Macaca fascicularis: one gene and its partners. The protein of the gene in region 1 interacts with the protein of each later gene in a biochemical or structural test. Links are inferred from orthologs where the notes say so. Each region holds a gene or a part of one and is shown in the gene's direction. Other genes may lie near its edges.

Region 1 (2,782 bases):
CAACTCACAAAAACCTTGGTTTCCTGACTAATAGAACAAACCTGGGAAAAACAAAAACAAAATAAAAGACAACAAAAGCAAAACCTCTCCAAAGACAAAAACCCTGTAATCTTTTTAGTCACTCTTCACCAGGTCATAATAGACTAATGCCTCAAGAGATTTCTTTTTAGTTTTGATAGAACAATTTGTTTGGAAAGAAATAATCTGTGAAGAACCTGGCCTATGGATTGCTAAGTAATCAGGGAGTATATGTGTGCATGTGATATGTACGTGTACTTTGGGATACAGTAAACAGACAAAGAGTGACGTTTGGGGTTGGATGAAAATAGAGATTTTTCATTCTTTTGACTTTTAAGTATTTTTTATTTTCCTTTGAAGTGTAAACATCAATGTAAAATAAGCTTCTTTTTCAATTTGAAAAAGATACTCTACTCTCGTGTATATGCACAGTTCCGAGGTTCCTTCTCAACAATGCTTCTTTACTTTGTTCTAATTTTCTAGATTGTGAGAGTAGCCTGGCTGCCTCAGAAAGAAAAGCTCTGCAAACAGAAATGGCTCGTATCAAAAAATGTAAGCCTTTTCTCTTACTCTCCAGGCAGCTTGAAATTTGGGAAAAATAGAATGCTACAAATATTTATAGAATGCAAAAAATATTTATTGAATGCATATAATTTTCTGTACCCTGATGGGCATTTCTCATATTCTGACCTCATGGAATTCTCACAACATTTTGGTAGAAATGGGGGCAAAGGGAAGTTAAATTACTTGCTCAAATGCACAGAGCTAATAAATGGCAGGGGTGCTTTATAGATGGAAGTCAGTCTAACTCGAGAGACCCTAATATTTTACCCTCTGATATTGCTCACTGAAAATGGGACTTATATCCCTTTGTTGCACTGGTATTGAGACCTGGACATGGGGTCTAACCTGCCTCGGGCAAATATTTTCAGACATTTTTTGTTTGGTCTCAAGTTAATAATTTATAATTTGGAAGTCCAAATTATATATCTTTTAGAATTCTGATCTGAAAGCACAGAGAGGCCTTTGTAGCAGTCTGTCTGTTCACATTTGGGTTGCCATATTTAACAAAGAAAAAGACAAAGCACCAATTAAATTGGATTTCAGCTTAAAAACATTCTTAGTATAAATATGTCTGAAAAATTATATAGGAGATATACTAAAATATTCATTGTTTGTCTGAAATTCAAGTTTAACTGGACATGCTATATTTTATCTGGCAACTCTACTCTAGAAGACTTTTTCTTGAGAAATACCTTGAGTTGGGCTTAAGGATAAGCCAATTTCACCCACTTTTTCACATTTTAGGGCTGACCTTCTCTCTGGGCAGACAAGTTGGGAACAAGTTCTTCCTGACTAATGGTGAAATGATGACCTTTGACAAAGTGAAGGCCCTGTGTGCCGAGTTTCAGGCCTCTGTGGCCACCCCCAGGAATGCTGCAGAGAACAGAGCCATCCAGAATCTCATCAAGGAGGAAGCCTTCCTGGGCATCACTGATGAGAACACAGAAGGGGAGTTTGTAGATCTGACAGGAAATAAACTGACCTACACAAACTGGAACGATGGTGAGCCCAACAATGCTGGTTCTAATGAAGACTGTGTATTGTTACTGAAAAATGGCAAGTGGAATGACATCCCCTGCTCCTCTTCCCATCTGGCCCTCTGCGAGTTCCCTATCTGAAGGGTCACATCACTCAGGCCCTCCTTGTCTTTTTACTGCAACCCGCAGGCCCACAGTCTGCTTGAAAAGATAAATTATATCAATTTCCCCTTATCCAGTATTGTTTCTTTTGTGGCAGTCACTAAAAATGATCACTAACAGCACCAACAAAGTAATAATAATAGTAGTAGTAGTTAGTAGCAGCAGTAGTAGTCATGCTAATTATATAACAATATATTTTTAATATATACCACAAGACCCTATCTTTTGCATCCTACGTTAATTATCTAGTTTAACTAAGCTGCAATACTTTCAGTAGCATTAACTTGCTGCAATATGAACATAAGATGGATTTATTTTTCCATTTACAACAAACACCTGTGCTCTGTTGAGCCTTCCTTTCTCTTTGGGTAGAGGGCTCCCCTAATGACATCACCACAATTTAATACCATAGCTTTTTAACAAGTTTCAGGTATTAATAAAATCTATTTTGTAACTTTATGAACTCTGTTTTCTTTTTAATGAGATATTAAACCATGTAAAGAACATAAGTAACAAATCTCAAGCAAACAGATTCACAAATTCTCACTCACATACATAACTATATACTCACTTTCTAGATTAAAATATGGGATGTTTTTGACTTCCTAGAAGCCCCTTTATAAGTCCTTCTAGTGTTAACTTCTAGGAAAATACTGTTCTGACCTCCATGACTGCCCAGTAATTTTGTCTGTTTATAAACATTGTGTAGTTGGAATCATACTGTGTGTAATGTTGTCTGTCTTGTTTACTCAGAATTCAATCTGTGAGATTCATTCATGTCATATGTACAGAAGTTTCATCCTTTTCACTGCCATGTAGGGTTCCCTTATATTAATATTCCTCAGTTCATCCATTCTATTGTTAATAGGCATTTAAGTGGCTTCCAATTTTTGGCCATGAAGAAGAGAATCCACGAACATTCCTGGACTTGTCTTCTGGTGGACATGGTGCATGAATTTACCTATCCAGGAGTGGAACTAGTAGAGAATGAGGAAAGCATGTATTTAGTTTCAGTAGATACTGCTGGTTTTCCTAAGTGATTGTATGAATTTATGCTCCTA
Region 2 (4,297 bases), on another chromosome or scaffold:
TGACCTCAAATGATCCGCCTGCCTCGGCCTCCCCAAGTGCTGGGTTTACAGGCGTGAGCCACCGCGCCCGGCCACCATTTCTTTTTCTTTTCTTAACCAAAGACCCTTGCCAAGTCATTCCCCCACTCCACTTTGTTTTCCTTTTCATTTTTTCCTTCCTCCCTTTTCTGAGTCACAACCATTAGCCAGGAAGCACCCCCTCCTCACCCTCTTTCCTGGATCCCCCTCATTCCCTCCTTCCATAGTCCACTCCCGTGTTCCCAGGTCCAGGGCTTATTTGCCCAGAGTTTGGAAAACCCCCAGATCTCCTTTCTACAGCGTGGGGGCAGGGTACTGGTGCCAGTCACGTGCCTCTGGCTTCAGAAGACTCCAGACTGGGGTGGGGTGGGGGGGTCCTGCCCATCTCCCTAGCACCTTATCTTCGCTACCATCTGTGTCTTTTTTCCCTCCCCAAACGGAACCCCCTGCCCTCTCGCCTATAGTCGTTTAATTGCAAAAGCCAGGCCGTTTGTGGGAGACCACAGACAGCGACCTCCTTCATTTACCGGTTGAGACGAGAGTAAAGGGGCTGCTGCAATCTGGGTAATAACCCTATCCCCACCCCAGGAGTCACAGTCACATCGTTAAGTCTTCCTCCCCTCTTGTCCCAGGCCAGCTTTAAAAACGTTAACAGCATTTCTGCTGGGTAGCACCTGGCCAGGGTCACCCCCTCTGTCTGCTCAGGAACGTCTGTCACTTCAGAGAGGTTAAGTGACTTGCCCCAGTCACACAGCAGCAGTCTGATAGGCTGCCAGGGCCCTAGGGGCAGAATGAGGAGAGGGCTGGCATTCTTCCCACTGGCCCGCGTGGCTGTAGCACCGGGGTGCAGCGTAGCCCCAGGGCCCCAACCCATGAGCTCTCTCCTATCCTGGGCGGGGGTTGGGGAGCAGCAGTGGGGTGCTGGTTCCCAAATGCAAGATAAGAACTGGCTAGGAAAGCCTTGCCCAGCCCCTCCACCTAGAGGGAACGGGAGGAAGAGAAGCTGAGGCGGGGTCCCGATCCCGCGTGGAAACACCTGCGCTCCCGCGGGTTCTTTAAACGCTCAGATGGGGAACGACGCGCACGGGCAAGGGCGGTCTTAGGTTCAGGTCTGGTCACATGACCTGGCCTGAGGGGCTCGCGGCCCCCACCCCACCAGTGGGCGTCCCCCACAACGCGTGGTCGACCATCATTGGTCAGTGGTGAGGCCAATAGAAATCGGCCATCTGGGAACCCAGCGTTCCGAGGCGCAGCCTAACCTAGTGAACTGACGAAGGTCCAATGGAAAGAGACGGCCGTGGGCGCAGGCCAATGATAAAGTGTCAGGGGCGGGCCCAAGGGCTGGGTCAGGTTGGTTTGAGAGGCGGGTGGGTATAAAAATGCAAGGCGGGCGGCGGCGTCCGTCCGTACTGCAGAGCCGCCGCCGGAGGGTCGTTTTAAAGGGCCCGCGCGCCGCCGCCCCCTCGGCCCGCCATGCTGCTATCCGTGCCGCTGCTGCTCGGCCTCCTCGGCTTGGCCGCCGCCGAGCCCGCCGTCTACTTCAAGGAGCAGTTTCTGGACGGAGGTAACGCCTGGTCCCACCTCGAGGCCGTCCCGGCGACGCGGCCGGCCCCCCATCTCGGATCTGCGTCGTCGCCCGTAATTACCGCTTAGAGGGCCAACACAGTGGTCCCCGGCGACTGGAGCTGCGGGCGATCCCTCTTCTGCGTCCCTGGGGAACGCGGAAGGCGTAGCGGCCTCCCGCGGCGGGAGTTAGGGTTCGCCCGAGGATCGCTGAAGGCACCCGACGTGTCAACTAGAGGTTGGGGTGGGGAGAGTCGGGGATCTCCTTCCCTGTCCCCAGCAGCTTGTGGTTCTCCGCAGATACTTGGTGTGGGGGGGATTAGCAGAGCCGCGCTGACCTAACTCTCTAACCCCCCACTTAGACGGGTGGACTTCCCGCTGGATCGAATCCAAACACAAGTCAGATTTTGGCAAATTCGTCCTCAGTTCCGGCAAGTTCTACGGTGACGAGGAGAAAGATAAAGGTAAGAGCTTAGGAGTGGGTGCTCAGATCCGCGAGGACTTCCTGGCAGAAGTCCTTGTCCGCACATACACAGCCGGGACAGTCCCCTAGGAGCAGGGCAGGTGGAGGAAGTGGGGGAGTCGTCTGTATCGTCTAAATCGAGGATCCTCGCGGGTCAGGACCCAACGGTGACCACACTACCGTCCCGTCTCAGGTTTGCAGACAAGCCAGGATGCACGCTTTTATGCTCTGTCGGCCAGTTTCGAGCCTTTCAGCAACAAAGGCCAGACGCTGGTGGTGCAGTTCACGGTGAAACATGAGCAGAACATCGACTGTGGGGGCGGTTATGTGAAGCTGTTTCCTAATAGTTTGGACCAGACGGACATGCACGGAGACTCAGAATACAACATCATGTTTGGTGAGGGGCTGCTTCCTGGTGCTGACCTCTGTCCCATTAGTTGGAGGGAGACCCAGACCCCATTGACTTTCTTAATAGTTATGATTGTCTTTGGAAGGGGCGCTAAAATAATTAAGTCACAGCAACAATTTATTGCGTTATGATCGCAGATCTAGGCTGTTAATTAATTTGTGTCATTGTATATAGTTATTTCCCAATCTTACAAATGAGGATGTTGAGTTCTAGAGCACTGATTTTTTTTTTTTAATTTAAACTTAAGGCTTCACCCACAACCCATTCAGGACAGAATCAGGGTCTGAGTTTCTCTTTTCAGCCTTGACAGACCCGAGTTTAGGAACCAGGTCTTCCTTTTGTAAAGAGGGGTGAGGAACTCGAAATGGTGGGTAGTCTCTGACTTTTAACTGGATCTGCTTCACACCTAGGTCCTGATATCTGTGGCCCCGGCACCAAGAAGGTTCACGTCATCTTCAACTACAAGGGCAAAAACGTGCTGATCAACAAGGACATCCGTTGCAAGGTGTGCCTGGGGGTGGTGGCAAATGGGTGTCATGGGGAGGTTCAGAGGTCAGCCTGATTGAGGGGGGGCTGCTCACCTTCTTCCTTCTTCAGGATGACGAGTTTACACACCTGTACACACTGATTGTGCGGCCAGACAACACTTATGAGGTGAAGATTGACAACAGCCAGGTGGAGTCGGGCTCCTTGGAAGACGATTGGGACTTCCTGCCACCCAAGAAGATAAAGGATCCTGATGCTTCAAAACCTGAAGACTGGGATGAGCGGGCCAAGATCGATGATCCCACAGACTCCAAGCCTGAGGTTGGTGTTTGGGTGGGGGCTCTGCTCTCCACATTGGAGGGTGTGAGGACATTTGGGCCAACTCTGACCTCTTCATCTATCCTCCAGGACTGGGACAAGCCCGAGCATATCCCTGACCCCGATGCTAAGAAACCCGAGGACTGGGATGAAGAGATGGATGGAGAGTGGGAACCCCCAGTGATTCAGAACCCTGAGTACAAGGTGAGTTTGGGGCTCTGAGCAGGGCTGGGGCTCACAGTGGGGAGTGCACCAACCTTACTCACCCTCTAGTTCCCTTCTTCCTTCTGCAGGGTGAGTGGAAGCCCCGGCAGATCGACAACCCAGATTACAAGGGCACTTGGATCCACCCAGAAATTGACAATCCCGAGTACTCTCCTGATCCCAGTATCTATGCCTATGATAACTTTGGTGTGCTGGGCCTGGACCTCTGGCAGGTGAGACTTGGAGGAAAAAGGAGGATCCCTGGGGTACCTCAAGTGCATAAGATCACCCAAGGGGAAAGTGACAGGATACGATCACACCCCAGGCGGGTCTGACTCAAAAATGGTACTTTTTGTAAACAGTACTTCCTGGTCTGTCCCTGTGGAGTCCTCACAGCAATGCTTTTGAGGTTGTACTTCTTGTGAACTAAGTACTTCCCCAAGTACTTTTATGCAAATCAACTTCTTTAAATACCCCCAAAGAACTAGAAGGTGGTCAGGTAACCCACTTAGTTAGCTGGGGCTGGGCACAGTGGCTCACCCTTATAATCACAGTACTTTGGGAGACTGAGGCAGGAGGATTGCTTGAGGCCAAGAGTTAGACAACCTTGCTTGGCAACGTAGTGAGGAGACCCTATCTCTACAATTTTTTTTTTTTTTTTTGAGACGGAGTCTCACTCTGTCCCCCTTGCTGGAGTGCAGTGGCCGGATCTCAGCTCACTGCAAGCTCCGCCTCCCGGGTTCAGGCCATTCTCCTGCCTCAGCCTCCCGAGTAGCTGGGACTACAGGTGCCCGCCACCTCGCCCGGCTAGTTTTTTTGTATTTTTTAGTAGAGAC
Region 3 (4,237 bases), on another chromosome or scaffold:
TAAGGCCAGGGATTTGAAAATGCTATTTCTGTGAATATTGAAATAACCAGGGACTGTGGCAGAACTAATAGTGGAGAAGGTGGCCATGAGCCAGGAGCTAAAACCTTCAAGGAATGAGGGGAGAAAGTAGACACTAGGAGATGGATACTAGCAGAAGTGGTAAGGAGTGGCACCTTCTGATAGCATGTGATGGAAAACTGAGAAACTGAGCCTTCTCCTCTTCTCTTTTCCTAAGCCTACTACAATCTGACTGCTTCTCCCATTACTCTGTCGAGAATAACTTGAAATGATGATAGCAAATCCTTAAAAGAATGTCACTGGATGTATTAAAAAGTGTGATAAGTGATATGATCAAAGTAGACATTTCTTCCACTAGAATTTTGGGAGAAAGCCTAATGGAAACCAGTGCGCACAGAAAGACAAATCCTGTATGATACCAGTCATATGTGGACTCTAAAAAAGCTCATCTCATAGAAGTAGAGAGTAGAGTACTGGTTACCAGAGGCTGGGGAAGGGAGAGACAATGGGAGATAGAGACAGATTGGTTAAAGGGCACAGGATCACAGATAGATAGGAGGAATAAATTCATCCTTGAATACTTAACCGTCACCCTAAATCTGTCACTCCTACATCCATATTTCTTATTTCAATAAGTAGCACCACCATCCATTTCTAATCCTGGGGCTAACTCTTGATTGCTTTCTTCTCACCACCAACCTTAAGAAAGGAAGTAACCAATATCCAGTACACAAGCAACTGTTCATTTCATCTCCAAAATCTTTGTTAATTATCCACTTTATCCACCCAGTCAGGGCCGCCATCAAACCTCACTTGGATGTCAGCAAAAGCTCCCTGACTGGTCTCCCCTCTCCATTATTGCCCTATTCTAATCTACCTTCCATACTATACACACATTTACATTTTAAAAATGTATATCCGATCGTCCCTCCCTTTTTAAAAATCTTACGATGGCCTGACATCTCAATTCACGATAAGGAAATTGGTTCTTCACATTCTCTGTACACTGTACACATGGCCTGCAATTGCGCTTCAACACAGAGACCAGGCATTTCATTAGCTGACCTTCCCACACACATTCTTGCAAAGAGGAATAGTCAAGCAGGCTGTTTGGAGGCGAGCTGCCGTCATCCACCACCTGTGTCTGTAAGCGCAGAGCCTCGCACGCGGGATCCATCGGAAGCCCAAGCATTGTCAAGCTCTGCTGCTGCACCTGGGTCCGCAACGTGGGCTCTGCCAGAGAAACCCGTTAGAAACAATGCAAATGGGGAGTAAACATGGCCTCGCCCATGAAGAGGAAGCTGTGGTGAAAAGCATTTTGTCCCGGAACCCCGCAGCCCTCCCCATACCCTGGGCGCGGAGCACAAGGATTGGTCCCTCCTCTTTGTACTGCTCTTTTCCTCTTATTTCAGCTTTCTTCGAGAACAAATCTGGTTTGTAGATGTGCTTGGGGAGAATGGGGGCCTCTTCTCCAAGAAGCCCGGAGCCTGTTGGGCCGCCGGCGCCCCGTCTCCCCTTCTGCTGCGGAGGATCCCTGCTGGCGGTTGTGGTGCTGCTCGCGCTGCCGGTGGCCTGGGGTGAGACGCGGGCGGGCGTGGGGAGGCGCCTGGGCGGACGAGGCACCCGGGGCCCCGCAGGGAACTCGCGTGCCTCGCTGGGCTGCGCTCCTCTGGACGCCCGGGTCCGAAGGCAGTGCGATGGGTGGGCTGAGCGCGCAAACCGGCAGGGCGGCGGGTCTGGGATTCTTCTGCTCACTGGAGACCCTCGCTGCTTCTGGGTAAGCGTGGAGTCCCCATGTGCATGGGGCTTAAGTCGTGACCAGCGCAGAGGAAGGCGCAGATGCTGAGCGGGTGTCGCATGAAATTCCTTGCATTTGTGTATTCACAGTCTAGGCTGGCTATAGCGGAGCGTGGCGTTGATCCTAGCGAAAGGGGACTTGGGGATCCGACAAACCTGAGTTCTGGTCCTAGAAACTTAACTATGAGGCAGCTTAGCACACCTAAGTCTGTTTGCTCTTCTGTAAAATGGGGACATTGATATCTGTGCATTGTGGAGGTGCTGCCTCAGTGGCATAAAGCCTGTCGAGTGTCTAACACAGGGCCTGTCCCCGAGTCCATTTCTATCCCCTCAACCATTGCCTCTGCACTTTGCTCCCAATGGTGTTTAGACAAGCAGTCCTAGGGATGCAGGTATTACCTGACAACTGCCCCACATAGAACTGTCCTCGTTCCCCACCCCAAGCCACCACCGCTATCATCACCCTTGCACTTGATTGATAGTATATTTTAAGACAGATGCATGCCAGGCACTTGGGGATTAGAGGAGTAAGGGCAGCCCCAGAACATGCAGTGTAACCGCTGCAGGTAGAAGGAACAGTAGATATGTTTACAGTTCGCATTTTAGGGATGTGTTTAGTGCAAAATAAACCCTATTATTATAACTACTATGGAAATTTTGAGGCCACATCTCTTCCTTTTTCTTAACTTCACATAGGTAAACATCTTCAATTAGAACCCTTCTATTATTATTTTTGGGCTCCCCAGAAGTCTTCTTGTTTGCCTAGACTCACTGGCAACATCTCAATTGAAGTGACAGTCTTGGTTGTTCCTGTCCAGCCTCTTCTGACAACTCCAGGTTCGCCCTTCTCTGCTACTAGACATTTTGCATTCTTTATTTGAGTGTTCCTTCTTCTCTAAAAGAGTAAAAAATAAAATAAATTAAAACCAAGTTCCCGCAAGAGTTGTTATTACTATTTGATCTCCTTAGGCACCAGAAAGTAACCTGTCAGGTGAAGAGATATGATAAAACTTACAATTTTATTTTTAGGAGAGAAGCATGCCCAGTAAGTTAAGCAATCTGTTGTCAGTGCTTAAGAATTTGTGTCATCCTTGTGAGTACTGACCCTCTTCTTACTAGAATGTTGTTTTAGTTTGCCTATGTTGATTAAGTTACTGTTATAAACAATCCCAGACACTATTAATTGCAAAAATAAAAAAAATTACTGAGGTTATCACAATAACCTCCAAATGTGAAACAGCCTAAACTATACTACCTGGAAATTTTCTTGCTGACATAATTTAAATTTTAAAATGCTGATGGATGTTTCCAGTGTGCACGGTCCTTTAGAATTTTAAAGAAGTATAAGAGCTATGCACCCAAGGTATATGCATGTAGAAGTAGGTGGTGGAGTTTTATGAAATCTACTTATTAGGAAGCCAGTGTTCGGCTTTTTCCAGCTTCTGCTACTTACCAGCTGGGGTCTTGGACCCAGTAAGTTAAGTCACATCACTGAGTGTCCACATGTATAAAATGAGCATAACTGACATCCTGATCTCTGAAAGAGGTATTTTGAAAATCAGATGGTGTAATGCATGTGACAGTGTTTTGTAATCTGAAAACCCCCATGCATATCTGAAAAATCATGACTAAGAAGTCATGCAAGACTGCAGGATCACTGAAAAGGGAGAAGTCTTAGCTCCTACGATCAGGAAAGTGTGAGTGAAAGGTGTATGGATTTACTAGCACTTAAAGAGTGAATCCAGAAACAGTTTGCATAGGACAGTTTATGGGGATATTTATTTCTATACAAAACATAGCAGAGGAACTAGGATTGTTTTGTTATTATGATTAACTCACAGTACCCGTGAAGTGGTATAGGGCTATTTGAAAGAGGACTTAGATTAGCTGCAAATAGATATTGCAAATGTAGGACAACCACTGAAAAAAGTGAAAAAAAGAATGATAATTATATGTGAATAAGGAAGAGAAAATTTCATCATATAAAATGCTCAGTTAAAACAATAAAGAGGGCTGGGAACGGTGGTTCATGCCTGTAATCCCAGCACTTTGGGAGGTTGAGGTGGGTGGACCATCTGAGGTCAGGAGTTCGAGACCAGCCTGGCCAACATAGTGAAACCCTGTCTCTACAAAAATACAAAAATTACCGAGGCATGATGGCGGGTGCCTGTAGTCCCAGCTACTCAGGAGGCTGAGGCATGAGGCTTGAGAATCGCTTGAACCTGGGAGGCAGGGGTTGCAGTGAGCGGAGATCATGCCATTGCACTCCAGCCTGGGTGACAGAGTGCAACTCCATATCAAAAGAGAAAGAACGGAGGAAGGAAGGAAGGAAGGAAGGAAGGAAGGAAGGAAGGAAGGAAGGAAGGAAGGAAGGAAGGAAGGAGAAAGAAAGGAGGGAGGGAGGGAAGGAGGAAGGAAGGAA

What was found.
Region 2: the proteins of MBL2 (region 1) and CALR form a complex in vitro, tested with the Homo sapiens proteins (2 studies listed by BioGRID and IntAct). The link is inferred for Macaca fascicularis from reciprocal best matches to the Homo sapiens genes MBL2 and CALR.
Region 3: the proteins of MBL2 (region 1) and CR1 interact in a biophysical measurement, tested with the Homo sapiens proteins (2 studies listed by IntAct). The link is inferred for Macaca fascicularis from reciprocal best matches to the Homo sapiens genes MBL2 and CR1.

What each region holds. Positions count from the first base shown.
Region 1 is NC_088383.1:93,790,970-93,793,751, forward strand, and holds the end of MBL2 (mannose-binding protein C), read left to right. Parts: intron 1-501; coding exon 502-570; intron 571-1,326; coding exon 1,327-1,700; 3' UTR 1,701-2,180; downstream 2,181-2,782. UniProt on the Homo sapiens protein: Calcium-dependent lectin involved in innate immune defense. Binds mannose, fucose and N-acetylglucosamine on different microorganisms and activates the lectin complement pathway.
Region 2 is NC_088393.1:13,336,001-13,340,297, forward strand, and holds the start of CALR (calreticulin), read left to right. Parts: upstream 1-1,420; 5' UTR 1,421-1,491; coding exon 1,492-1,582; intron 1,583-1,943; coding exon 1,944-2,045; intron 2,046-2,237; coding exon 2,238-2,441; intron 2,442-2,863; coding exon 2,864-2,958; intron 2,959-3,050; coding exon 3,051-3,260; intron 3,261-3,347; coding exon 3,348-3,461; intron 3,462-3,550; coding exon 3,551-3,694; intron 3,695-4,297. UniProt on the Homo sapiens protein: Calcium-binding chaperone that promotes folding, oligomeric assembly and quality control in the endoplasmic reticulum (ER) via the calreticulin/calnexin cycle.
Region 3 is NC_088375.1:65,320,689-65,324,925, forward strand, and holds the start of CR1 (complement receptor type 1), read left to right. Parts: upstream 1-1,363; 5' UTR 1,364-1,459; coding exon 1,460-1,595; intron 1,596-4,237.